Linked DNA regions of Mus musculus: region 2 is reported to be linked to region 1. The links are microRNA targets in miRTarBase. Many come from high-throughput screens and were not tested one by one. Region 1 holds a microRNA gene; the other region holds the end of a gene's coding sequence.

The links. The annotated mature microRNA mmu-miR-3964 reads AUAAGGUAGAAAGCACUAAA and lies in region 1 at 5,648-5,667, shown strand. An mRNA with a match to its seed (bases 2 to 7 or 8) in the 3' UTR can be bound and repressed. Matches are read on the target gene's strand: a 7mer-m8 pairs with bases 2 to 8, a 7mer-A1 pairs with bases 2 to 7 and ends in A, and an 8mer does both.
Region 2: the mRNA of Rerg is a reported target of mmu-miR-3964. Seed matches in the 3' UTR shown: 7mer-m8 at 3,582-3,588.

The regions. Positions count from the first base shown.
Region 1 is chr15:29,706,144-29,719,003 of GRCm38, reverse strand. Mir3964 (microRNA 3964) reads left to right here and starts at 5,600; the gene lies at 5,600-5,673.
Region 2 is chr6:137,046,367-137,059,226 of GRCm38, reverse strand. Rerg (RAS-like, estrogen-regulated, growth-inhibitor) reads left to right here. Exons shown (of 5, transcript NM_001164212.1): 4 at 1,341-1,414; 5 at 2,687-4,402. The coding sequence ends at 3,094. Among named protein-coding and RNA genes, the nearest start is that of Gm52923, 59 kb to the left of the region's middle.

The DNA of each region.
Region 1 (12,860 bases):
CAGAGAGTTCGTAGTTCATTCTACAAAAGCTAGAATGCTATATTTTCTCAGTAGATATTTAAACACACACACAGACACACACACACACACACACACACACACACACACACACACACACACACGTAAAATCTCCCATCATTCTTATCTATAGTATAGTACTCCTCAACCAAGACATTTTTCTTCAGTTACAAGATATTGGTGACCTGCTGGAAACATTATCAATACTTGGAAGCAGAGTTGTCATAAGGTGGATGGTTACTAAAGATATTCTTAACACATCTCTTATAAGAAGGTTGAGCAGCTTTGCTGATTAAGTCAGAGGTCACCTTCATTGCAGACTGGTCTAGCAGGTGACAGATATTCATCCCTCTACCCAGATTTCACCAGGTCCTATGCCCTAAGGGGACAGATTGAGGAAGTTTGCTCCATTCATAAGCCAGATGCCACAGCTAAGGGCTGTGACTATTACTACAAGGCAAGGGTACAATGAGATCATAGTGAAAGACTTTTGTTTTAGGCAAAGGGTTTTTTCTTCCTTAGAAAACTATACACTTAGAAAGTGGTATTTGTATTATTTAACATACTTAATACTGGAACTGTTTATCTTCTGTGTTGATGCAAATCTCTGTCTGGAATCATTTTCCTTCTGCTTGAAAAGTTTCCTTTGACATTGCTTACAAAGTCTATCTCAGGAAATGAATTCTCTGAATTGTTTATTTAGGGATGTATCTAATTTGCCTGATTCTTGAAGGAGTTCTTTGCATTTATAATACTTGGTAAAAATATTCCCAAGCATTTTAAAGATAATATTTAATATTCTGTTTGGCTTAATATTTTCTGATGAGGAACATATGATGTATTTCTATTCTTATTCTAGGTACTTTCAGGATGAAGTGAGATACCATTAATCTTAAATAATGTATGTCTAATCAGCCATGATGACATGCATCTATAGCTCCAAAGAGTTAGGAGGCCCGGAATGAACAATTTCTAAATCCAAAAATTTAAGAGCAGGATGAGCAGCCTAAAGACTCCCTCTGTCTCTCTGACTCTGCCCCTGTCCTTCACACACACACACACACACACACACACACACACACACACACACACAAACACACACAAACACACACACACACACACACACAGAGAGAGAGAGAGACACACACAAACACACACACACACACACACACACACACAGCGATAGAATTTGTGGGTAGTGGGTAGTATGTAGGCAGACCTATCACCAAGGTGATTGGTTTATAAGGAATTTGATAACTCAGACAGGTATTAATACTGACATTAGATTTCTCCAAGATAGTTTTTCCAATTAAAAAAGAAGGAACATGTCTAAAAGTTGCTAAAGACTCTTAATTATAGTTGTTGTTTACACCATTAGCCTTCAAGTATAAATGATGATCGGGTCCCTTGTATCATGTTTTTCAAATTGAAAAGCATATTTGACAGTGAATGACTAATGTGGAAATACAATTTCATGACTAATTAAAAATGTCACACACTTTCTTATAGAGAACTAAAGGGAGCTAATTATATGTATACATAAATTATGAGAATTATTAAACATGAAAATGCTACTTTTTGTTTTATGTTTTTTTTTTCTTGACTGGATTAAACAAAGAGACTCAAATTTACCCTCAAAGCACCTTGCCACTGACATACAAACACAACCCCTATTTTTTCATGTATGTCATGATTGTGTTATGTTTTCCAAGGTACTTTACAATCCCCCTCCTCAAATAATTGTACTACCCAAGTCTCCCAAGTAGATAGGACCATGGGGCATGTCCACAGTTTTTGGCTAAAGTAATAATTTTGACCTAAGGAAAGAGTAAATGATTTATGAATGCAAATATATATATACATTTTTATTCAGGGAGCTCTTCACTAAACAGTACTGAAATTTAAATATCTGTTTTTTAAATTAATTAATTTATTTCCATTCTAAATTCTGTGTATACCCTTACCACAGTGCATCAAGTCTCTGCTGGGCTAGGTGCATCCTCTCCCACAGGGGCAAGACAAGGTAGCCCTATGTGCCAGGGCCTCAGTCTAGCCCTGTGTGTTCTTTGTTTGGTGGGTTAGTCTCTGAGACCTGCCAAGAGTCCAGATTAGTTGATTCTGTCAGTCTTCCTGTGGAGTTCCTATGCCTTTCGGTACCTTCAATTCTTTTCCAAACTCTTCCATAACAGTCCTTGACCTCTGTCCAATGTTTGGCTGTGGGTATCTGCATTTGTTTCAGCAAGCTCCTGGGTAGAGTTTCCCAGAGGATTTTTATGTTAGGCTACTGCCATGTGAGCATAAAAGACAGTCACATTAGCATCATTAGGAGTGTCAGGGATTGTTGCTTGTCCATGGGAAGGGTCTCAAGTTGGGCTGGTTATTGGCTGGCTATTTCTTCAGTCTCTGCTCCAGCTTTGTCCCTGGATTTCTTTTAGACAGGACAAATTTTGGATCTAAAGTTTTGTGGGTGGATTGGTGTCCCACTAGGGTCCTGCCTAGCTACAGGAGGTGGCCTCTTCTATTTTCATGTCCCCACTGTTAGGCATCTCGGCTAAGGCCACCCAAATTGACTCCTGGGAGCCTTCCTCATCCCAGATCTCTGGTACTTCCTAGAGATTTCCTCCACCTCTTCACTTCCTTCATTCTCCTGTCCTTCTGACTCTCTCTTCTGTCTCTCCCCACACCTGATCCTAACCTCATTTTCTCTATTGATTTCTTTATTTGATGTTTGAGGGACATCTAGGTTGTATCCAGGTTATAGTTATTACAAATAAAGTTGCTATGAACATAGTGGAGCATGTGCCCTTTTAGTATGGTAGAAGAGCTTTTGGATATATGCCCAGGAGCAGTATGCTAGGTCTTCTGGTAGAGCTATGTCCAATTTTCTAAGAAACTGCCAGACTGATTTCTACAGTGGTTGGACACGTTTGCAACCCCACCAGCAAAGATCTATTTTATTTTAAATATTCTCACAGCTTTAAAACAATTCCTCCACTAATCAACACTACATTTTATCACAACCAAGTAGCTACTAATTAATGATGTGGTATAATCTTACCTCATTTTCACTAGTGATAGAGAAGACAGAACAAGTAAACAGTGTCATGGTTGACATGCTCTGGACTCTGCATCAGCCTGAGCTCACAGTTCTTACTGTGTGCAGAGATAGAAACACTTTGACTCCTCTGGGAAAATGCCTGTAATTGAAATTCAGAAATCATGTAATGTTAACTATCTATTTCAGTATGTATGCCACCTATGATGTGGTCATACTCTGATTTATATAATAACCAGGTTTGACCAGAGTTTGTGCTGAAGCAAAAATCCCTGTGTATCTGTGCCCTGTGTATGTTTTGTTCTTTTGTCCCAATAAGACAGTTTTGTAATGGAAAACTACAAAATTTTCAAAGCTTCATTATTGTTATCATCAACATTGCTTCAGCATCAGGGTCATGAGCAACCATACTGGTTTCATCACCTTCTGTCCCTGTGGCAAGACACTATGGCCAAGGCAACTTACAGAAGAAAGAAGTTATTTGAGGATTCACGTTTCAAAGTTTATGACCATCATGGCAAGGAGCATGGGAGCAGGCAAGCAGGCTTGGCATTGGGCCAATAACAGAGAGCTATTTATTGATTCTTTGTGAGTTTCGCATTATGCATCCCAGTCCTACTCATCACCCATCTTCTAATATTTGCCTTTTGGCCTTACAAACTTCCCTCCTGAACACACACATAAATACACACACACACACACACACACACACACACACACACACACGCACACGCACACGCACACGCACATGCACATACACACAAACACACACACACACACACACACACACACACACACACACACACACACACATGCACACACAAGCAACAACAACAAAACTGCATAGAAAATATCCCATCATGGAAGCTGTAATAGACCACAGTGTGTTCCACAGTATATCCCTCTGTCCACACATCTGCACTTGCAAATGTTCATTGCAATGAGTCATTGGTTTGGTATGGGTTCTCTGGCTTCTCTGACATCATCAACATTGGATCTACCTCAGGACTACTCGCAGTTATTCTGTAGTTGTCTTGTGTCACAGAGATCATACAGCTTTGGATCAGCAGGATTTGTCCTTTCATGTCTTCCAACAATTCTCAAATGACATAGTTTTGGGGGTGTGCTAACTGAGAGCCCTGGATCCAGGTCTGGATGTTTGCTGAGTTGGTCAGTGCACAGGCTCTCCCTTAACTACACATTACCAGGGCAAGCTCGTCAGCACTGCTCTCATCTGGCTTTCCAATGTCTACATCTGCAGCATCAGAATTTCCTCCCATTTTTTCCTTTTATTGAATATTTTCTTTATTTACATTTCAAATGTTATCCCCTTTCCAGGTCTCCCCTCCAGAATCCCCTCCCATCTCCCCCTGCCTCTGTGAGGGTGCTCCTCCACCCATCCAGCCACTCCTGCCTTCCAGCCCTGGCATTCCCCTACACTGGAGCATTGAACCCCCTTAGGCCAAGGGCCGTTCCTCCCACTGATGTTCAACAAGGCCATCCGCTGAAACATATGCAGCTGGAGCCATGGGTCCCACCATGTGTACTGTTTGGTGGTCCAATCCGTGGGAGCTCCCGGGGTCTGGCTGGTTGACACTACTGTTCCTCCCATGGAGCTGCAAACCCCCTCAGCTCCTTCAATCCCTTCTCCAACTCCTCCATCATGGGCCCTGCACTCAGTCCAATGGTTGGCTGCAAACATACGCCTCTGTATTTGTCTGGTTCTTGGCAGAGCCTTTCAGGAGACAGCCATATCAGGCTTCAGTCAGCAAACACTTCCTGGCATCTGAAATAGCATCCAAGTTTGGTGACTGTATTTGGGATGGATCCCCCAGGTGAGACAGTCTCTGGATGGCCTTTCCTTCAGTCTCTGCTCCACACTTTGTCTACATATTTCCCCCTGTGAGTATTTTGTTCCCCCTTCTAAGAAGGACCAAAGCATCCACAATTTGGCCTTCCTTCTTCTTGAGCTTTATATGGTCTGTGAATTGTATCTTGGATATTCTGAGTTTTTGGGTTAATGTCCACTTATCAGTGAGTACACACAATGTGTGTTATTTTTTACCTCACTCAGGATATTTTCAAGTTCCATCCATTTGCCTGCAAATTTCATGAAGTCATTGTTTTTAATAAGTGAGTAATATTCCATTCCTCTCTTGGTCTCATGGTCTCACACCCACACCTCCAAAACCACCTTCACAGTCAAGGTGCAGCACTCACTCTCCCAAGTCCTGCAGCCTGTGAGGGGCCAGCTCCAATGTGTTGCCCAGGGAAGGTACAGAGCCTGCTCTTCCACATGCTACAGTTGGTGAGGGATTAGGGTGAAGTCTTAGGCTCTCATGCCCTTAGGCCAACTCCCCTGACTACTACAGGTGGCAAAAGGTGGGACTGGAGGGCATCACCCAACACCCACACCACTACTTGCAAGCAGGAGCATGGCAGTGCCAGATCTCTGGTGCCCTGGTGTGGCTTACGCAATTGCCTTCCAAAAGGGCCAGCTCTAATGTGCTCCTTGGGTGAAGTGCAGGGCCTGCTTTCCAAGTTATGTAGCTAGCAAGGAGAACTCACAGCTTCATAAGGTAGAAAGCACTAAATGGGCCTTGAAACTTCTGAAGTCTCAAAGCCACCCCAATGGTATAGTTCCTCCAACAAGGTCATACCTTCTAATCTTTCCCAACTAGTTTCACCAAATGGGGATGTTATATATGAACTTATGGTTGCCATAATTGTTCAAATGACTATAAATACTAAAGAAGGCTGCATCATTTTTTTTCTTGTGAAACATTGCTGTCCTAAGATCTGTGTTTCACAGATTGTAGTTGTAATTTTAACATCTGTGAACAATGCATATTTTAGGATACACATCTACTTTAACATCTAAAAAATACTTAAGATACTTTTCCCTTTATAGATTTTAGACACACACAACACATTTCATTTTATTTTAAATTGAGTGTAGTCATATGAGAGATCACATAGTGTCTAAAAATGCTAGCCAGTTCACTACTTCTGAGGAACACCCGTGATATGACTGTTATTACATAAAGATAACCCATTGCACACATCATATGGATAATAATCAAAACTTTATCACAAAGAAAGTATGATGAAATCATTTTTAATCTATATAATTAATTTTAAATTTAAGTCAAAGAAGGGAACATGGAAAGCATGAAATTCTTATATTGATATTAATCAATGGTATTACTGGGAAATTTATTTAGAAATTTAATGTTTTGATCTATACAGAATCACTATTTTGGAGAATAAATAAAAAAGCCTTTAAACTGTGAGCTAGATTATATATCATATATTTTAAGTGCATATATCCATGTATACTAATTTATTATATACAAGTAATATATACATTTATGTGTATATATGAACATATATATTTATACATATATATGTAATGTTATATGTGTATGAAACCCAACTAGATGACTACAAAGTAAGTAAATACTATTTCTTAACTGGAATTGTAGAGCTAGAACAATGACTGGAACACTGTTTTAAAAGATGGAATTATACAATGGACAGAGGCTCTTGAGTTATTATTTTTATAAATGATGGATTTCTCAATGTGTGTGCATGAGTATGTATGTTTGCTAGTAGTAAGAAATCTTATGAAGTGAATTATTAATGGTAAAATTCCTGTGCGGCTCACTCTACTGTTCAGTGACTTCATGACATACTCTTTAAAATTATCCTAATTGGTAACACGTTTATTGTGTAAACCAATGGGATACATTCTAGTTTTTAATCCATGCACACATTATTTACTCATGCTGCCTCTCTTCTTCTGTCTTTAGCACACCCACTTATCAGCTCCTTTTTCATCCCTTAAAGGTCCCTTGTCCCTTCTTCCTGCAACTTCTGCAACCCTTCTCCAAATCTAGTCACCTGTATCCACTCCATACTTGCAGTAAGTTAATTCATTGCCTTCCATAAATGAGATAGAACACATGGTACATGTCTTTCTGTGTTTGGCCTGTTTCTATTAACACAGTTCTTCCCAGCCATTAATATTGTTGAAAATGACAGTTTTAATCATGCTCTGACTGAGTCATAGTCTATCATGTTAACATGCAGCTTTCTCAATAATTCATTTGATAAAGACATCTTGATTGAGGTCACATTTTGGTTATCTTTAATATTTTTGTAATAAGCATTATAGTGCAAGTGCCATTTTGGCCACAAACAGAATTGCTTTAAGAGAAACTTTCTCTAACTATTTTGGTCCTGATCCTTGTATGCTCTGTTTGTCTTTCCCTGATGTTCCTAGCTACCCACAGAGACTGGTGAATACAGGTGCTAAATTTATACTGTCAATACATCACAGAAAATGTGAAGAATAAAAAAAACACCCTTCTATAAAGCAGATCATTCTGATTTCTTTTCACATCTTCAGAGTACATTTAGAATGTGAAGTATCACTTGAGTATCAAAAAATTAAATATAAAAAAATTCTTGGAAGTGGAACCACACGATTTTGTGGTGTTTTGAAATTTGAAAAGCATATATACTACCTTTTAATTTTCAGTAAATAAAATAATACTGAGTACACAGCTGTACAAATCTGTGAAAAATACTTTTGTGGAATAGTGTTGCCACATGATCCTACACAGTATATAAATAGTTATTTACTTTAAAATTAACATTTATCATTATCACATAAAATGAGTATAAGTGCCCATAAAATATTCTTAAACTTAACATGTATCAATAAATACACAAAATGGTGTTTAATTTTTTCATTTTTTATGAATATTCATGACAGATCACTTTATTGTGCAGGCACTTAAATGTTTATGGGAATATTTTTAACTTTGTCATTTTGTGGAACTAACTACAAAAGGGCTGGAGTGGGCTTGCATTAAGTTCCCATGTCACAGCAGCTATCTTGTTGTTCATGACTCCATGATTAACACACAAAAGATATATTTTATAAAGTATTTGTGCATTCATAAGATTTATTATCAGTTATGTATAAGTATGCACACCATGTAACATTCCAATTATCTCCATTTCTCCTTTCATATCTTCACATTAATCTAACTGTGCTTGTCTCCTTTTGATCAAATTTTCTGATTTTAAAAGACATCAGTTATATCAGAATCCCTTTGATGATCTCACATTCCTTTTATTTGTTTATTTATTTTTATTTATTTTTCCATGTGTATCTAGGGCAATGTGGGTTTGTACACATAAATGTGGGATCCAGAGAACAACCTCAGATGTCTCCTTCAAGGATATCATCCAGTTTACTTTTGAGTAAACTCTAGTGGGCTTAGGAATAACTGATTTGATGATTCTACATGGTGAACACATCACATAAATCCTTCTGCCTACATCTTCCTGGCCTTGAATTGGAAATCTGTGCTGCCTGGCTATTTTACATGAATTTTGAGGTGGAACTTGGATCTTCATCTTTGTGCCTCAAGTGCTTTTCTGATTGATTCATCACTGTTATCCACGATCCTGCCTTAAGTTTATTACTTTTGGAAATTTTATTTCCCACTAAGAAAACGTCAAGGAATCTGGGTATCAGCACTTAACATATCCTTTGGCCACAGCACATTCAAACCTTAGTAATATGCTATTTAAAAATGGCCAAGAGATAAAAATAAGTACTAGTAAAACAACTGTGGAATTGATTAATTCTATTTAAAAGTGTTAATACAGACTTGATTTTCCTATATTACTCAAGTTTGCAGTGAGCTAACAAATAACAAAAAGTCTTATCATTAAGTTCTGGAGGGAAACCAAGAGCAAAGACCCTGCTTGCATGTTACTGGAGAATACTATGCGTGATACTTGGGGAAAAAGACCACAAAACAATTTTACTCTGGTGCCAACTATTCTAGCTAAAATAACTTTTTAAAAGATGTGCACATTAGTGCTATAGTGGTACTAATGTTGTAGATTCAACCAAACACTTTTTGATTGAGTTTAAATTCACTCTATGAGAATGAATTAATGATTGGTACTGTTACTAAGCCAAAATCCAATAGTTACATAGGTTTTTGGCTTCAGAGGAGAACCTAGTATGATTATCCCAATAATTTGATTAGTATTTAATTGTCCCTTGACATCTTATCTTTGTATTCACAGATTAATCAATATCTAATCATTCATTATAGAATGTTTTTTATTCTATAGATGACAATTAATGAGACCCATAACAAGTTAACATGCAAAACCCAAGACTGGAGTGCTAAGCTACAAATAGAAAAGCTATATTTCAGCCCTTACCCTCAGTGTCAGATGAATGGGGGAAAGAAAATTTAATAGCCAGAAGTTGTTCAAATTTATGGCAATACAAAATTTGTTGAACATAAAAGGGTCATTACAAACCTGAACCCATAGTTTCTATGAAAACAGGCCCACCCATCTCTAAGCAGCTATTGGTAAATGGTGGCTATCATGTGGGAAGACTCAATTCTTTTTTCATGTATGTGTACCATGTGTACCTACATCTCAGAAGTTGTTCCACATCTATGCAAATTCAGGCAGTGTTTAATGGATTCAATTCGAAAAACAAAACAAAACATCCCCATACCCTAAGGGAATATGAAAAAATGAGAGGAAAGTGTTGGTGGGTGTATAGGAGTGGGAAATGGAAAGTAGAGAACCGGGTTGGGGGTGGATTTAATCAAAATTCACTATATAAGTGTAAAATTCTCAAACACTAAAATCTTGGAATGATTAGAAAAAATAAAAAGGAAAACAAAACAAAACAATACCCACCACAACTAGAGGTTTTCTAGAGATTTCTTGGTGAAATATTTTTACACACTATGTATGACTGGTTTTCTTGTATACATAGTTATTCTGATTCTTCATTCAAAGCCCATCACATACAAAGCACACCAAAGGGAGTTGTGGACATGAATGTTGTGCTTGCATCCAGATGATCTGAAGATCTATGATTTCTGACAATAACATATTGGAGTATTGATTCTAAAGATGACAGTATGAGCATTCAGAGCATTAGACGGCTTTTAAGCTGTTGACAAAACCATTGTGAATGGACTAATGATTTAAGGAAGGCCCCCGTTGGCTGGAGATATAGCTCAGCTAAAGTAGGGTGAGTTAAATCCTTAGAAAATCTCTAGTAAATCTCTCTCTCTCTCTCTCTCTCTCTCTCTCTCTCTCTCTCTCTCTCTCTCTCTCTCATATGCACACACGCGCCATCTTAGAGAGACTCCTTGAGTTTGCTGCCATGTAACACTACAGCAAAGGGACCTGATTTATAATGATGTAATTTGTAAACCAAGAAGAGGGTACAAGGCTTCACTGTGTGGAGAGAAAACTTGTAGGGGCCAGGGTGGTGTAATCTTGCACTTACTCTACCACTTGCAGAAGAAGCTGAGATGTATAGGAAGTATAATGAAGCTCCAAGTTGTGGATCAAAAAGACAAAAATACCTTCCAATAAATGGAAGTCTAAAGAAAGAATACAGTTCAAAACGCTAATAAGACATAGCTACACTCAGCCACATGTGTGCCCACTGGCAATGAATAGAGGAATAAAATAAAAGCAAAAGAATAGAGCCTTACTTATTATCTGAAGAGGCATTAACTGCAACCAACATGGTAATTAACTGATAAGTGACTGTATAGGATCGATTTTAGAGAATTAAAATGAATGTTTTAAGAAACAACAGAAATGGTTTCGTTTACAAAAAGAACAGTACTTTAAAACAAAAACAAATAAACATGTTGAAACTTGAAACATGGCTGACAATAAACTGAGAATGGAAACATCAGGTAAAGACAGATGAGAGCTGTGAGATTCAGGATCCTAGGTAAGAGAAGCGGGTGGAGTCAGTATAAGAAAAGAGGGTGGAGCCAGTGGGACATTCCGTAGATCGTTCAAATGTGGGGCAGCTAAGCAAGTTATTAAATACACTGAGGCTTTAGTTTGCAACTGCATGTTGTAAATTATAGTTATAAGAGATTATTCTGTCTAAAAATAAGATGCAAATATATGGCACAGAATTCTCTAAGAATGAAAAGTTGCAATAAGTACATAATTCTAACTATATAGTTATTATTAACTTATTAACACCATAAAATGAATAAATATAAGACAAAAATAAAGGAAAATTGAGATTTTCTGAGTTTCTTTCTTTACTTATGATACAGATTCTGCTTTTTCTTAGATTTTATTATGCAGAGGGCTTTAAATGTAAGATGAAAATAAATAAATCTTGTCCAAAGCAAGAAAGGAAAGTAGAGTAGAGGTAGCTAGAGAGATGGGTCAACAGTTAAGAATATTTTCTGCTTTAGCCAAAGGCCTAGGTTCTGTTCCCAGAACCCACACAGTGCCTCACAACTGCCTGTAACTCGAGTTTCAGTGGCCCATCTTCTTCCTTTGGCATCTGCTGGCATTGCGTATCAATGTTATACATACCTCCAGGCAAACACTCATACATGCAAAGTAAAAATAAATCCTTAATAAACAAGAAAATAGTTAAACAGTAAATGGAGTTTATAACTAAAAACGTCTAGCAGCAACTTGCATCCAATAGGAAGCAAGTGAAAAAAAAAATAAGGACAATTATGTATCACACACAATTCCCCCAAAATGGAAAGAAATGATGACAGAATTAAATGACCTGAAGTTTAAAGATCTTACAATAGCTCCTCTGGTTATACAGAATAAACAAATAAGGCCACATGACCCTAATGTCTGTTGCTTTTAAGACAATCTCAAATGCTCAGTTTTACCAATAGTCTTGTGAACCAGAGGCTGGGGTGAAAGCCTGCTAGCTTAGTGAGGCAGGGAAAGCATCCAGCTGACCTTTCTCAACCAGTCTCCCAAAGGGAAAGGGAAGCACTTCTTCAGCAATCTCAAAATCTTTTCAAACTAAGTGTCCCTTACTTCTACTTCCTTTGTGTCTCTCTATCCATCTTCCTGACCCCCTCTTTCTGTTTTTTTTCCTATGTTCATTCCTTGTCAACTGGTTTCTTGTTCTGCCTCTTGACCTATGGTTGACTTTATTTAACCCTGTTTCCAAAAACCAGAAAGCTCTTAGATTGAAGGCATGGGCTAGGGCTGAGCCACAGCACAACTAGAAGCAGGTTTTTCCAGGAAATAATATAATCTCAGGGTTCACAGTGTAATCAAATATTGTACAACAAGTTTATATGAAATTACAAGCCACAAACACAGCCCAGGTTGAAGGAAGGCATCCGAAGTGGTCACATTTCTGCTGAATGCTGAAGGGTGTGAGGTCATGGAGAAGATGATGTCATAGGACACTGTGAGCCTCATGGAAGAATACTCCAGGGACAGTTCTTATGATGGTTTCTAACAAAGAGCAAGTACCCAGGCTTTCCTCTGTGTAACAGACAAACAAAGGGCTTTTATTTAAAGCCCTTGGAGAGCAATGCATTCAGAGGGCTGCTCAGTTGCACATAAGCTCTGCAGGTGCAAATATCCCAATGTTCTCAACATTATCTTCCAAGCTCTTACACAACATCCCACAGAGCTCTTAACACCAAATGGATCTTCTAGCCCAAAGTTCCAAAGTCCTTCCACAGTCCTCCCTAAAACATGGTCAGGTTGTTACAGGAATACTCCACTATGCTGGTACCAATTTGTCTTAGTCACGGTTTGTATTCCTGCACAAACATCATGACCAAGGAGCAAGTTGGGGAGGAAAGGGTTGATTCAGTTTACACTTCCACATCGCTGTACATCTCCAAAGGAGGTCAGAACTGGAACTCAAGCAGATCAGGCAGGATACAGGAGGTGATGCAGAGAGCATGAAGGGATG
Region 2 (12,860 bases), not on the chromosome of region 1:
CAGAACATGTCAGTAGCTCATAAGCTGGTGCCTGTCACCAGCTCAGTCTGTCTCTCTTGGCTCCTTTGTCTGTGTTTAAACTTTCATATACGGCCCCACCAGCTGACTCCGCTTTGATTTCCTGTTCCACTTATATGGTGAGAGTCATATTCATGACTTCCCAGGCATCTTATACCTGCCATCTTCTTATCCCTTCAGGGTTTGGGGACCTCTCCACTGTGGACCCAGCAATGGCAGCTGCAACAGGGCAACTGCTATTGTCTACTTTGACCAGACATCATGATGGAGGGATCTTATTATCCCATCCCACACATCTGCTCAGACCCTTTATATTTTGGGCTACCATTCTTCACCATCTGCCAAATGCAAGCTCAGCCGCCTGCCTCTTACCACCTCAAGTAGTTTCATATCCTGTGCTCAGCCTGTTATAGTCTCGGGGTCTTGGTCAAGTTTGGGATTTGTTGTTGTAGTTGTTGTTTTGTAAGTTTGAGGAAATAAAAGTCAGGAAAAGCTTGAGTGTAGCAGGTAGCAGTGGGAAATCAGCCAGGGAAGAATGGCCATTATTAGAGGTGATGAAACATAGGAAATACAGCAGGAGTAGAGAATGATTGCCTACAAAGCAGAGGTGGGGTTTCCTCCCATCATTTAGGGTTGGTTAGTTTAAACAAGGATAGGATGCCAATTGCCCCACAGCTCTTATGTGAGCATGTCCTGATCCAACCTGTCCCGTCAGACCCATCAGACCCATCAGCCGACTGCAGTGCCCTAGGCTTCTGCCTCAGGTCAGGAGGGAGATGAAGAAGCCAGCCATCTTGGAGAGGAAGAAGCCAGCCATCTTGGAAGTTTACCAGCTTTATCCATCTGTCTAAGTCCCAGCCTCTCCACCCTGACCATGCCCCTCTGGTGCTAAGGATCTTTACACTGTTAAAGTTAGGAAGAGACACAAAAGACTATTATGTCAAAAAAATTACTTATTGGAATATCTAGGTAGAAATATATTTTGCATGGAAAATGCCTCTTTCGTCTTATAATGCAAAAGCCTCATCTAATTTAAATGGAAAAGAGCACTAGGGGTCTGGCCTCACAGAACAAGATACAGCCCGAGGAAAGGATAGAGGAGCAAGCAGGCAGCCTGCTGGAGGTCGGGCTCTCAGAAAGCTCTGTAGAATGAGATGCTGTTCCTTTGTCCATCTATCCTTCCATCCTCTCTTCCCTGGACAGCTCCCTGCCCCGCCCGGCCCCACTCCTCCCCGCATTGCTACAAAGGCAGGAATCCTGTGCCTAATATCTCACTTCAAGGATCAAATTCAATCTCTCATGTCCCTTTCTCATTCTTTTAGAATCAACCTACCGACACCAGGCAACCATAGACGATGAAGTTGTTTCTATGGAGATCCTGGACACCGCTGGCCAGGTGAGTAGGAATTCAGCCAAGTGTTTACTGCATCCAATAGAAAAAGAGATAAGTAAAACAAACACCGCTATTGAAAGGAACCACTAATGTCCTCATGTGCAAGTCGAATCTCTGAGACAGCCTTGGCCTGTGTTCCAGTTCTCTTTGACCACCACTTACAGGCATGTGTGTGTGTGTGTGTGTGTGTGTGTGTGTGTGTGTGTGTTGCATGTCACATTATGTGGAGACGGTCCCTACAATACTTGCCTGCAAATTTCCTTTGACATTAGTCAGATCATGTCTTATAAAAACAGTAGAGATGACCAGGGGAGTGATGGTTATATGGGCCAGGCATTTCCATGGTGCTATAACAATGACTGGTGGCCTTCAAAGGGAGACTTGAGTTAAAGTGTTTCATCAAAGAACTGCTCCTGAAATTAATTATAACTCATCTCTCCCTCCTTCTGCATGGCCTTCACACAGTACTGAGCACGCCAAGAGAGGCAGAAGCCTCTGGAAGACAATTGAACCTAAGGAAACAATACTTTATTCTCTGTCCTCTCCTCTCCTCTCCTCTCCTCTCCTCTCCTCTCCTCTCCTCTCCTCTCCTCTCCTCTTCTTCTTCCTCCTCTTCCTCCTCCTCTTCTTTCTTCTTTTCCTCCTCCTCCTCTTTCTTTTCTTCTTCTTCTTCTTTTTCTCTTTCTTCTTCCCCTCTACCCCTCACACTTCCTGTCTCTCTTCTCACACACAGTGTCTCTTCATCTCACTACTAGTAGCCCAGGCTAGCCTTGAACATGACCTCTTCTTACCTCTGCCTTCTAAGTACAGGGAACTCAGGTGCATCCAGACCCAGCCAGAGACACCTTCAGACTGTGTGTTCTTCTCTCGTGGAGGAGAAGCCACTGCTCTGACAGTCACCGCAGGAGAACTTTCCTTATCACTACTGATCTATAACACAGATTAGAATATTGGAATGGGGGGTGGATGGGTGGGTGCGGGGTCCTAGTCCTCAAGCTTAAACAGTAGATTCTATATAGCTTATTACTTCTTTTTCTGTTCCTAGGGTTATCAATGGTCTATAAACTGAACAAGAAGGTTATTAAGACAAATGGGGGTGAGCTGTACTTACCTTCTAAACTAATGAAGGAAATACGTTCATCCAGGAAGACAGCCAAGATGTTTAATAACAAACGGATATGAAGCGATGCAATTAAGGGATTAGTAGGCAATAACATTGTGCACTTTGGGATGAGGCCCAGGTCTCCTGATTGCAGCTCTTTTCTTTGCCCACAGGAAGACACCATCCAGAGGGAAGGGCACATGCGCTGGGGAGAAGGCTTCGTGTTGGTTTACGACATCACCGATCGAGGGAGCTTCGAAGAAGTGCTGCCGCTGAAGAACATCTTAGATGAAGTCAAAAAACCCAAAAACGTGACTCTCATCTTGGTCGGAAACAAAGCCGACTTGGACCACTCCAGACAAGTGAGCACAGAAGAAGGGGAGAAGCTGGCGACGGAACTGGCGTGTGCGTTTTACGAATGTTCCGCCTGCACGGGAGAAGGGAACATCACGGAGGTGTTCTATGAGCTCTGTCGAGAGGTGCGTCGCAGAAGGATGGTGCAGGGCAAGACAAGGCGCCGCAGCTCCACCACACACGTCAAGCAAGCGATTAACAAGATGCTCACCAAAATCAGTAGTTAGAGGTCTTGCCGAAATGTGCTGGAACGTGGGAAGGCCTTCCTGGCTCTCCTGCTGCCCCTCTAGCCACAGCCAAGATGTCCTTCTCCTTATTCTGAGTTTGGGGGATGTCAGGGTTTCTCGTGGGTCCCTCTCCACTATATGCTGGGAAATTCTCTGAGTATCTTCTGCAGCCCCATGCTGTGACAGTCTCTCCCTTCCCTGCTTGCCGTAGGATCCGTGCAAATGTAGTTTGAAGATGCAACCACCAAAGATGCTGAAGTGGCTGGGTTCGTGGAGGCTAATTGTAGGCATCTCTGCCTTGATTTAACAAGTTGAAGTCTTTTCAAAGGCATTTTAAGATTCTGAATCTTGTGGAAGACTACAAAGGTCACCATAAGGTTTTGTGATGTCTGGTGTGAACTTGAGGAAGGTAGCTGAGCGATTAGAGCCGGGGAACAGAATTCTAGTTCCCATTTGAAGTGAGGATTTTTTTAATTGTTATTATTATTACCTTACTTAAATTATGCCATTTTTCTTTAACATTTTATTTTATTTTTAGATTGAAATGTTATTACTGACTTTGTGATGGAATTGCCCATTTCAATTAAAATTGATTCTCTCAATAATCTACAGCGGTCCTTACATACCCTATTCTATTATTTCCTTAATAACAAAAGAAACAAGACCCGCAATTCACACCGTGCTGTGGCTTTGCTTCCCCAAGCCTTGGTGATAAGAAAAACAAACCCACTAGGAATCTTTGTGCCCACTCCTGACCTCACTGCATGTTAGTAGAGGATTGCAATTAGAGACACCTGGTTTGTATATTACTCTATTAGCACCGTAGTGGGAAGCTAACCCTCTTGAGAAAATTATGGCGCTTAGTTATTTCTCTTTGGAAGCAAAGGCAGAATCCTATGCATTCAGAAAGAGCCAGCCGCTGATTCAGTAAGTTGGCCACATGCCTTGTTAACCTTCTAACCTTTGGGTAAGATTAATTCACATGGGAGAATTCAGAAAAATAATGGGTGAGTAAAATTCACTCTACGTGAACGAGCGTGCACAAAGTAGATGCTTGGCTGGCAAAAGGATTATGTAACTGCCAAGAGTTTATGATCCTTCTCTTCATTTCCTGCCCCATATCCTGAGATTTGGCCACTTTATTTTAGAATAAAATATATATCTTTTATGATGTATTTATATGTATACATATAAGTATGTATAAAATTTGTAAGCAGCGAAGATTTTAATTCACCAATGTATTTGAACAATCTGGTGTAACTGACTTCGTTTTATGTGATTATAATAAAAAATATAATTTTCAAATTCTGTTGGAATTCTTTTGTGAATAGTTTGTGAGCTTCGGGGAGGCATGGGAAGCAATTGGATTGCAGAAAGGAAGGCCAAGGAGCTTGGTTTGGAAAGAAATAGCTCCTGCTAATAATAGTAGATGCCGCTTTTAGAATACTCAGGCTCTTTATTCCTTTTCTCCACTAATTGTTACAATTATTCTAAGACAGTAGTGCTGAGATCACTGTGTAGAAGTAAAATTGACCCAAGTGGGAAAGGAAGTGATGTCACCAAGTCTACATGGTGGGTTAGAGGGTAGAGCCAGAACTTTAACTGAGAGTCAGAGTCGAACTTTGCAGCCCACACGACCAACTTGCTAGACAGCTTCTAGCCTGGATTTCAGGGGTAAAGGCAGAGGATGAGCCAGACAGCTCTTAGCTTGGATTGCAGGGGTGAAGTCACAGGATGAGCCAGACAGCTCTTAGCCTGGATTGCAGGGATGAAGATACAAGATGAAGTGGTTAAGAAAAAACTTGCCTTCTTTATTCCCTTGTTAATTCATCCCCTGTAAATATGTCTAAATATGCTGAATATGCAATTTTATATAGCCCATTTGACGATTTAAGAAATTCATTAGAACAGTCTAGGAGAGGGTGGAAATCTTCTAAGTTGTAGAAACAGCATGGAATGAAAATATGAAGACCTGAAAGGTGGTGATGAATGCAGAACCCTGGAGGAGATCCAAGGGCCACGTGTATCATTTCTAGAGGAAGAAGGGTGTGGGGAAGTTGAAGGAAAGAATTCAAGGTGCACAGGGGGCAGAAAGCAAGCCAAAAGTCACAAACTCCTATTCCAGCAAGAACGTCTGCTAAGGAGGAAAGCGAGGCACTGCAGTGGTGATGTCCATTAGGCAGTCGATCGATCGAAGGGGAACACACAAGGGACGCTGCTGTTTGCAATCTGTCGCCTTCTAGAGCCAGTCCTTGAGTATCTCTACTAGGAAATGTATCTCAGCCAGTCCCTGCTAGAAACAAATTCCTAAGGTGGTGAAAACCCGAATGTCCTTTTTGAATAAACATTGAGAGATGACCCAGCGGTTAGGAGCCTTTGCTGCTCTTGCTGCTCTGGGTGTTTCCTCAGCACCCTCGTGAAGGTTCCCAAGTGCCCGCAATTCCAGTTCCAATGGACCCAGCTCCCTCTTCTGGCCTCCAAGGGCATTACACATATGTGTACACATGCATACACCCAGGCCAGCACTCAACACATAAACAAAACTAAACTAAGGAAGTCAAATGTGCAACCAGTACAGTAACCAGGCTAGACCATGCAAAAGTAAAAACCCCATCTTTTGATTAATGAACATGCAAGTATACTGCTATAACTCAGTTACCGCTCTCATAACCCAAGCTTCTACACAAATAAAGATTGCAAACAAACTAATACTATCAGTTGTTTGACAGGCTCGCTTCATTTTGATGAATGCTAGCGATGCAATATTTATTTAATAAATTAAGGATGGGGTCCTTTCTCCCACATCAAACGCATGCCGTTCATGTAGGCGCAACGCAGTGGCAAGAGCCCTGTTTATTCTCACGTATCACAGTACTAGAAATAACTTCTTCCAAATGATAGAGTAGATCCTGAGAGCTCATTGAGATAAAAATCAGAATTTGAGGAGGCCAAGTTCATCAGAATCTGTGGCTAAGCAGTGACAGGCATGGTTCAGGCTGAAACAGGGGCAGAGAAGGGCTTCACTGGTCACTTTCCTACACCAGGACCAACTTAAGGGAAGAGGGAACACAAGGGAGGGCGTATGGTGTGAAGAATTCAGGTCATAATGGCAGGAATGGGACCGGACCTTGTTCACATCTGGATCTCAGCTTTATGGGAGGACATTGCTTACATTCAAAAAGTGGGTCTTCCCCAGTAAGCCTTTCTTAATCTCTGGGGATTCTGGAATTGGTCTCCAGGCCACACTCAAAGACGTGCCTGACTAATACAATCAAGTCAACGATGAAAACTACCCAGAACAAGAGTTACAGATCCATGAACATTGGGAGGAGCATATACAGGACTAAGGACAGTTTGTGTTCGCATCAGCCACAACGAAATATCTTCATAGTGTACAAATGATACAGGGGAGCTTGGGGAACCAGGGAAGGAGGAGAACTTTGCCTTAGGTGTGAGACTAAATTCGTATTATTACTTATAGCCACTCTAATAGTACCTTAAAAAGTTGAACACTGAATCCAGGAAACTTGGTTTTTGTTCTAGAAAAGTATATCCAACATCCTATTACAAAAGTATACAAGCAAGATTTGACAAGATTGGAAACCAAGATGGTTCATAGATGATCTAAAATCTGTATGCAAAGAGACAAGAAATAGGATTAAGGACTGGCAAATAGAAACAGAGTGGGAGATGCTATCATTATCAAACAAGGAAGTTGGGACAGCTTTACAGACTTGCTCCATGGAGGTAGGAAGGTAAGGAGAGGTCTGAGCATCACAGGAGCAGATAAAAACAGTCAGTGTGAGTGGAAGGTGGTTTCTCCTGAAAAAGATAACATACTGAGCTTGATTATCATCAAATCGGGTGTTGGAAAACCCTAATCAGAGAGATGGCACAGCAACTGGAATGACGGAAATGAAACAATGAGGAAGAAAGTGACCGTAGACTCTATTAGCAGAGTAACATGTGATACGACTGAACTCTCAGAAGCAGAGATTACTATTGGTGGGGCAAGGACTAGTAGTAGGCTGGAGAGATGGCTCAATGGTTAAGAGCACTGGATGCTCTGCCAGAGGACCCAGGATTGATTCCCAGCAACCACATGGTATCTCACAACTCTCTATAACTAGTTGCATGGAATCCCACATCCTCAGTGGTACCCAGATATAAATGCAGGCAGAACACCCTGCCTGCATAAAATACATGTAACCAACAAAACAATTTAACTAAGCCAGGCAATGGTGGCCTGCACCTTTAATCCCAGCACTCAGGAGGCAGAGGCAGGTAGATCTATATAAGTGTGAAGCCAGCCTGGTCTACAGAGTGAGTTCCAGGACAGCCAAGGCTACACAGAGAAACCCTCTCTCAAAAACAAACAAACAAAAAACCCAAAATCACACAACAACAACAAAATCAATCAGTAATAATTGAGAAAATCATTACTGAAAGGAAAATCCAAATTGTAAACTTTCAGATCTAAAAAACTCAAAAAACTCCAGCAATAAAATATTTGAAGATACTAGTAACATAATCGTTAAAATCAAGTTGATGAAAGACAGTGATAAGGAAAAAAATGTAAAAGATGCGGAGGGAGCCGAGATACTCATTACCTACAGAGAAACAAGGGTGGGACCGGGAAGCAGCCACCTATTCTGCACGACCGGAGGACATTGGAGTGACATTTTACTTCAATTATTAGAAGGAAAAATGGCTTAGAATGCAAGGTACAGTATTTTTTCATCACTGCCTGGGTTCCAGGGGCAAACCAAGCTTAAGAGGACCACAGACACCCAAAGGCCCTGGGCCCCACTAAGATGAGTAAGGAGAAGAATGATGGGGGGCGGGGAAGAGATGCAAGAGGATGTGTGCACAGTGAAGAGAGGCGGGACTGGAGACTCCAGGGTAGCTGGAACGGCCTGATGTGAGTAGGTGGCAGTGCCAACCCAAGGCCATTCATTGTGAGGCCCTGGCCCGTGCTGCCTCCAAGGGCTATGTCTGGGTCCTTGTCCCTACAGCAAAGGTCATGTGGATACCCCTCGTCTGGGCTGAGGTCATATTGATGTCTGAGCACTCGTAGAGCTGGCCCTCCCCCCATTGCCTGGGCATCTTGAGAGAGTTAGCTCCAAAGACATGATCCTGGAAGAGCTGGTTCTGTCTCTTATCTGTCAATGGTGTGGGCAAGGAAGAGATACCCTTTCCCCACTCTTCACACCTTCAAGGTGCTAATCTCACCCTGTTTATAAAATCCAGGGCCTCAACCCAGGGGAATGGTGCAGCCCTTAAATGATATGGGAAGCTAGGACGTCACATAGCAATTAAGAAGACCAAGACAATCCCTGAATATGTGCCCACAGGTCAACTTGATCTAGCCAAGCCATCATTGAGATTCTGTGAGCAGGTGGTGATTCCTGGTTGTAGCAAATTGAAAATTAAAACTAACCGTCACACCTCCCGTGCTCAGATCTGGGAGGCACAGTGGCAGCTCTTACTCAGAGAGGGCTCTAGATTGGGCATTTGCTGTGAGGCCAGCTGGATGAGACAGACTCCTTGACGTCTGCTTGAAACAAAGAGTCCAAGGCTCCAGATTTTCAGTTTACAGCTTTTTCTGATCTTAAGAAAGTATCCATATTTTATGCTAAGATAATAACTTTACTTAAATCCCGTTCACTGAAAATAACTTTGGTTATTCTATGACAGAGTTGTGTGTGTGTGTGTGTGTGTGTGTGTGTGTGTGTGTGTGTGTGTGTGTGTGTGTGTGTTGTATACATGTGTGTTATGAGAACACTCACTCATGTATGCTAGTTTGGAAGCCAGAAGTTGATGGCGGATATCTTCTATTAAATCCACTTTTTTTTTTTTTTTAAAGACAGGATTTCTCACTGTGATGGTTTGCATATGGTTGGCCCAGGGAGTGCCACTGTAGGGAGGTGTGGCCCTGTTGGAGTAGTGTAGCCTTGTAGGTGTGGCCTTTAAGACCCCCATCCTAGCTGCCTGGGAGCCAGTATTCTGCTAGCAGCCTTCAGATGAAGATGTAGAACTCTCAGCTCTTCCTGCACCATGCCTGCCTGGATGCTGCCATGTTCCTGTCTTGATGACAATGGACTGAACCTCTGACCCTGTAAGCCAGTCCCAAATAATATTGTCTTTATAAGAGTTGTCTTGGTCATGGTGTCTGTTCACAGCAGTAAAACCCTAAGACACTCACAAATGTGGAGCTCTTCATTTTAGTTGCAGCAGCTGGCCAGTGGGCCCCTGGAATCCTCTGGTCTCCATTCCCAATGCTGGTGTCCCACAGGCTGTGACAGTTTGGATGAGGATGCCCCCCACAGGCTCATATGTGTGAATGTCTGGTCCTCAGTTATCGGAACTGTTTGGGAAGGACTGGGAGGTGTGCTCTAGGTAGAGTATGAGTGAGTGGCTTTAATGGGGAAGGTGTGACACTGTGGTGGGATTGGGGTTTCAAAAGCCCAGCAGGGCCCAGTCTCCCTCTCACTCTGCCTGCAATTTACCAATCAGACGTGAGCTCTCAGCTACTCCTCCAACACTGTGGCTGCCTGCCTTCCACCATGCTTCACACTACAATGATGATGGGTTAAGCCTCTGGATCTGTAGCAAGGCCCCAACTAAATGCTTCCTTTTCTGAGTTGTCTTGGTCATGGTGTCTCTTCATGGCAATAGAACAACAACTAAGACAGACCCCTGCGCCCACCTTTTTTTTTGCCACATGAGTACTAGAAAGCCTAACTCTGGTTCTTACACTGGGACAGAGACCATTTTACACACCTAGCCATCTCCTCAATCCTGAGAAAGATTTGGAAGGGTAAAGGTTGTCACTGTAAGCTAGTGAAATTCTTGATGAGACCCATGTGGTGTTCCTCCACAAGAGCCTGTAACATGGTCATAAAAACTTTCATCTTGTCGTTATCTCATCTTCCCGGAGTTTGAGGAGCCAAGGGATTATTGCAAGAAGCAAGTTTTACATGGAGACAAATATAGACTGCTGACTGAATCTATTCCCCGAGCTTCAAAGTCAAACTATGTGCCAGTGACATCCAACTTAAAATTTATGCTCAGAACGTTTGCTGGTAAATTAGCTTTTCGGAATGCTGAATACAATTTCCCTGGAAAACAATACTGTAAATCTCATCTATGTTCCCCCAGTGAGTCTGCCGCGGCATACTTAAGTTATATAGAGCACACTGCTTTTCCTCGGGGTACATATCAGCATCTCAAAAAGATTAAAAATACTTCCAGCATCCCCTCATCTATCCTTCAGTTTCATGCTGACACAATTAGGTCTCCCTTCCTTGAACTCTCTACTGAAAACCTTCATTTGGGAGATGCTTCAGATTGGAAATCTTTGATGACCATGGTTGCTATGTTAAACACAGCTGACTGGTACTATTTCAAATAGCATCGGCAATTAGAGAAAAATATAAGAGATTTATTTATTTATTTATTTATTTATCTTGGAGAAAAGATGCCTAGCTACACAAGGCAAGTGCATCATGATGTAAAACAGACCAAAGGGCCTCACTCATTGCCCAATTCACCAGCATCCTTCAAAGGTCACTTTCTGGGGCTATGTACTGCTACAAAGTAACATTTAAAGAAGCACGGAGAACTCCTGCTCTCAGGAGCCTGAATCAGTCAGGTCTCTGTGAGTTCGAGGCCAGCTGGAACAGCATGATGCGTTTCATACCATCTAGGGCTACATAGAGAGACCCTGCAACCTCCAGAAATTCCCAGTCTCCACATCACGCTGTCATAAGAGAGGTGGGATTACAAGTGTGCAATATCCCACCCAACTTTACATAGGTTCTGTGGATTCAAATTCGGAGTCTTATGCTCACTGCCAGTAATTCCTGTACTGAACCATCCGCCTGGCCTCAGTATTTTTTATGTGTAAGAAGGACAAGATAAAGAGTTATCTCAGCACTAGGAGTACTCGCTGCTCTTATAGAGCACTGGTGGTCAATTCCCAGTATCCATTATAAGCTCACAACTGTCTGTAACTCCACCTCCAAGAGGCTCAGCGTCTTCTTTTCAAAGACTCTCTGACATAGCTTGGATATGGTTTGAGCGGAGCTTAGGTCCCATGGTGGCAATATTGAGAGGTGGTGGCCCTTTAAGAGGAGACATCCAGTGGAAAGTCTTTAGCTTTTCAGGGAATGCACCTGAGTGATTTCATGCATATCTGAGAGAACCCTAATTTCATTCAATGAGCTGTTGGAAAGGTCCCTTGCCTCTACATCTCTTTTCCTGTCTTCCAGGAGATCTCTCTTGCACCCACTTTCTTAGTATTGAACAGATAGAGCCATTCAAACAAGGATTTAGAGTCTCCAAAATGGTTTGCTAAGAAGTTTCCTTTACTTATACCACATCTAGTATCAGATACCCTGAGTTCAGTTTCCGTCAGCCCTATGTAGGTTACTAACTATATGTAACCAGGTAATCTAATGTTCTCTTCTGGTCTCCCCAGGCACCAGTCAACACATGGTACATAGATACATGCAAAGAAAACCAAAACCAACAACTGCAACAAAACCCCACTCATATACATAGTATATTACTTTTAAATAAAATAAATATTTGAAAACCCAGAGTTATAGCTGTAGGTTTTTTAACTATGTCCCCAACCTTCCGTATAGACATGCTTCAACAATGATTGGCAACTTAGGAACAAAATAGCTATAATAAAGAAATCAAGGCACATCACCCATAAATGTGAGGTGTCTGCTACCTAGGCGTAAGATCAGTCTGTGGACGAAACTGTTGTTGTTTCCAAGGGCTAGTGAGACTATGGGACAGTGCACTATAATTAGAGTTACAGTCTATGACGGTGCCGCTTTGAAAGGCTGGAGTGTGTAAACCAGGACGACATGCCACCTGTTGCTTGGCATCTCTAGACTGATTCAGTCGCAAGCAAGGTTTGGCTTAAATCCCTGAGCCCAGCTTCGACCACACAGAGCCAAAACCGCATCTTTTAAAAAATGCGGTTTCAGTTAGTAAAGGCAGCGATTCGCATCCACAGAACTCAAAAGAAAACTATTGTTAAGGCTTTAAAATCTGACATTAACCATTGTTTTTCCTTACCTGAAAGTGGCTTTAATGTAGCTGAATTTGAGCATATTGCTGGGTTGGTTCTGCATCACTCAGAGGTTTGAAATAAGTAGTTTGTCTTGTTTATAGCCTCTTGGTTTTTTTTTCTCATCTGCTTGTCTTAATATAAAATTTTATATTACAATAAAATGCCTGAGTGGAATAATCTATTAAGACAAAAGGATAACTTAGTCCACAGCTCTGGAGATTAAAACATGGCACCTACTATGTTAGCTACATCATACTGGACAGCATCATGGTGGAACTCCAGGAGGAGGGGAAAGACGAGGAGCCAGGCAAACTCGGGGGCTTGGCTTGATCTTTTTAGAGCAACTAGATTTTGGTGAGGACTAATTCACTCCTTGAGACTAGTTTTAGTGTCTTCCAAGGGTGGTGGTATGTATGGCTTGCCTTAGACCGCTCGTGGTAGTACAACAGCTATCATACTGAGGACAGAACTTGAGGAATGTGGATTCTTAGAGAATACACTCACATTATGTCCACGCCACAGAAGTGTTGAACTGTAGCCCAGCCTACCACATGTGTGTTCTTGGAATAACTGCTGATGCAGTGACTCACATGATTCAATTTCAGAGCTGTGAAGCCAAGATGTAGCTCCACAGTGAACACCCATGTCAAAGATAATGGCCTCTGTCTCGCAGGA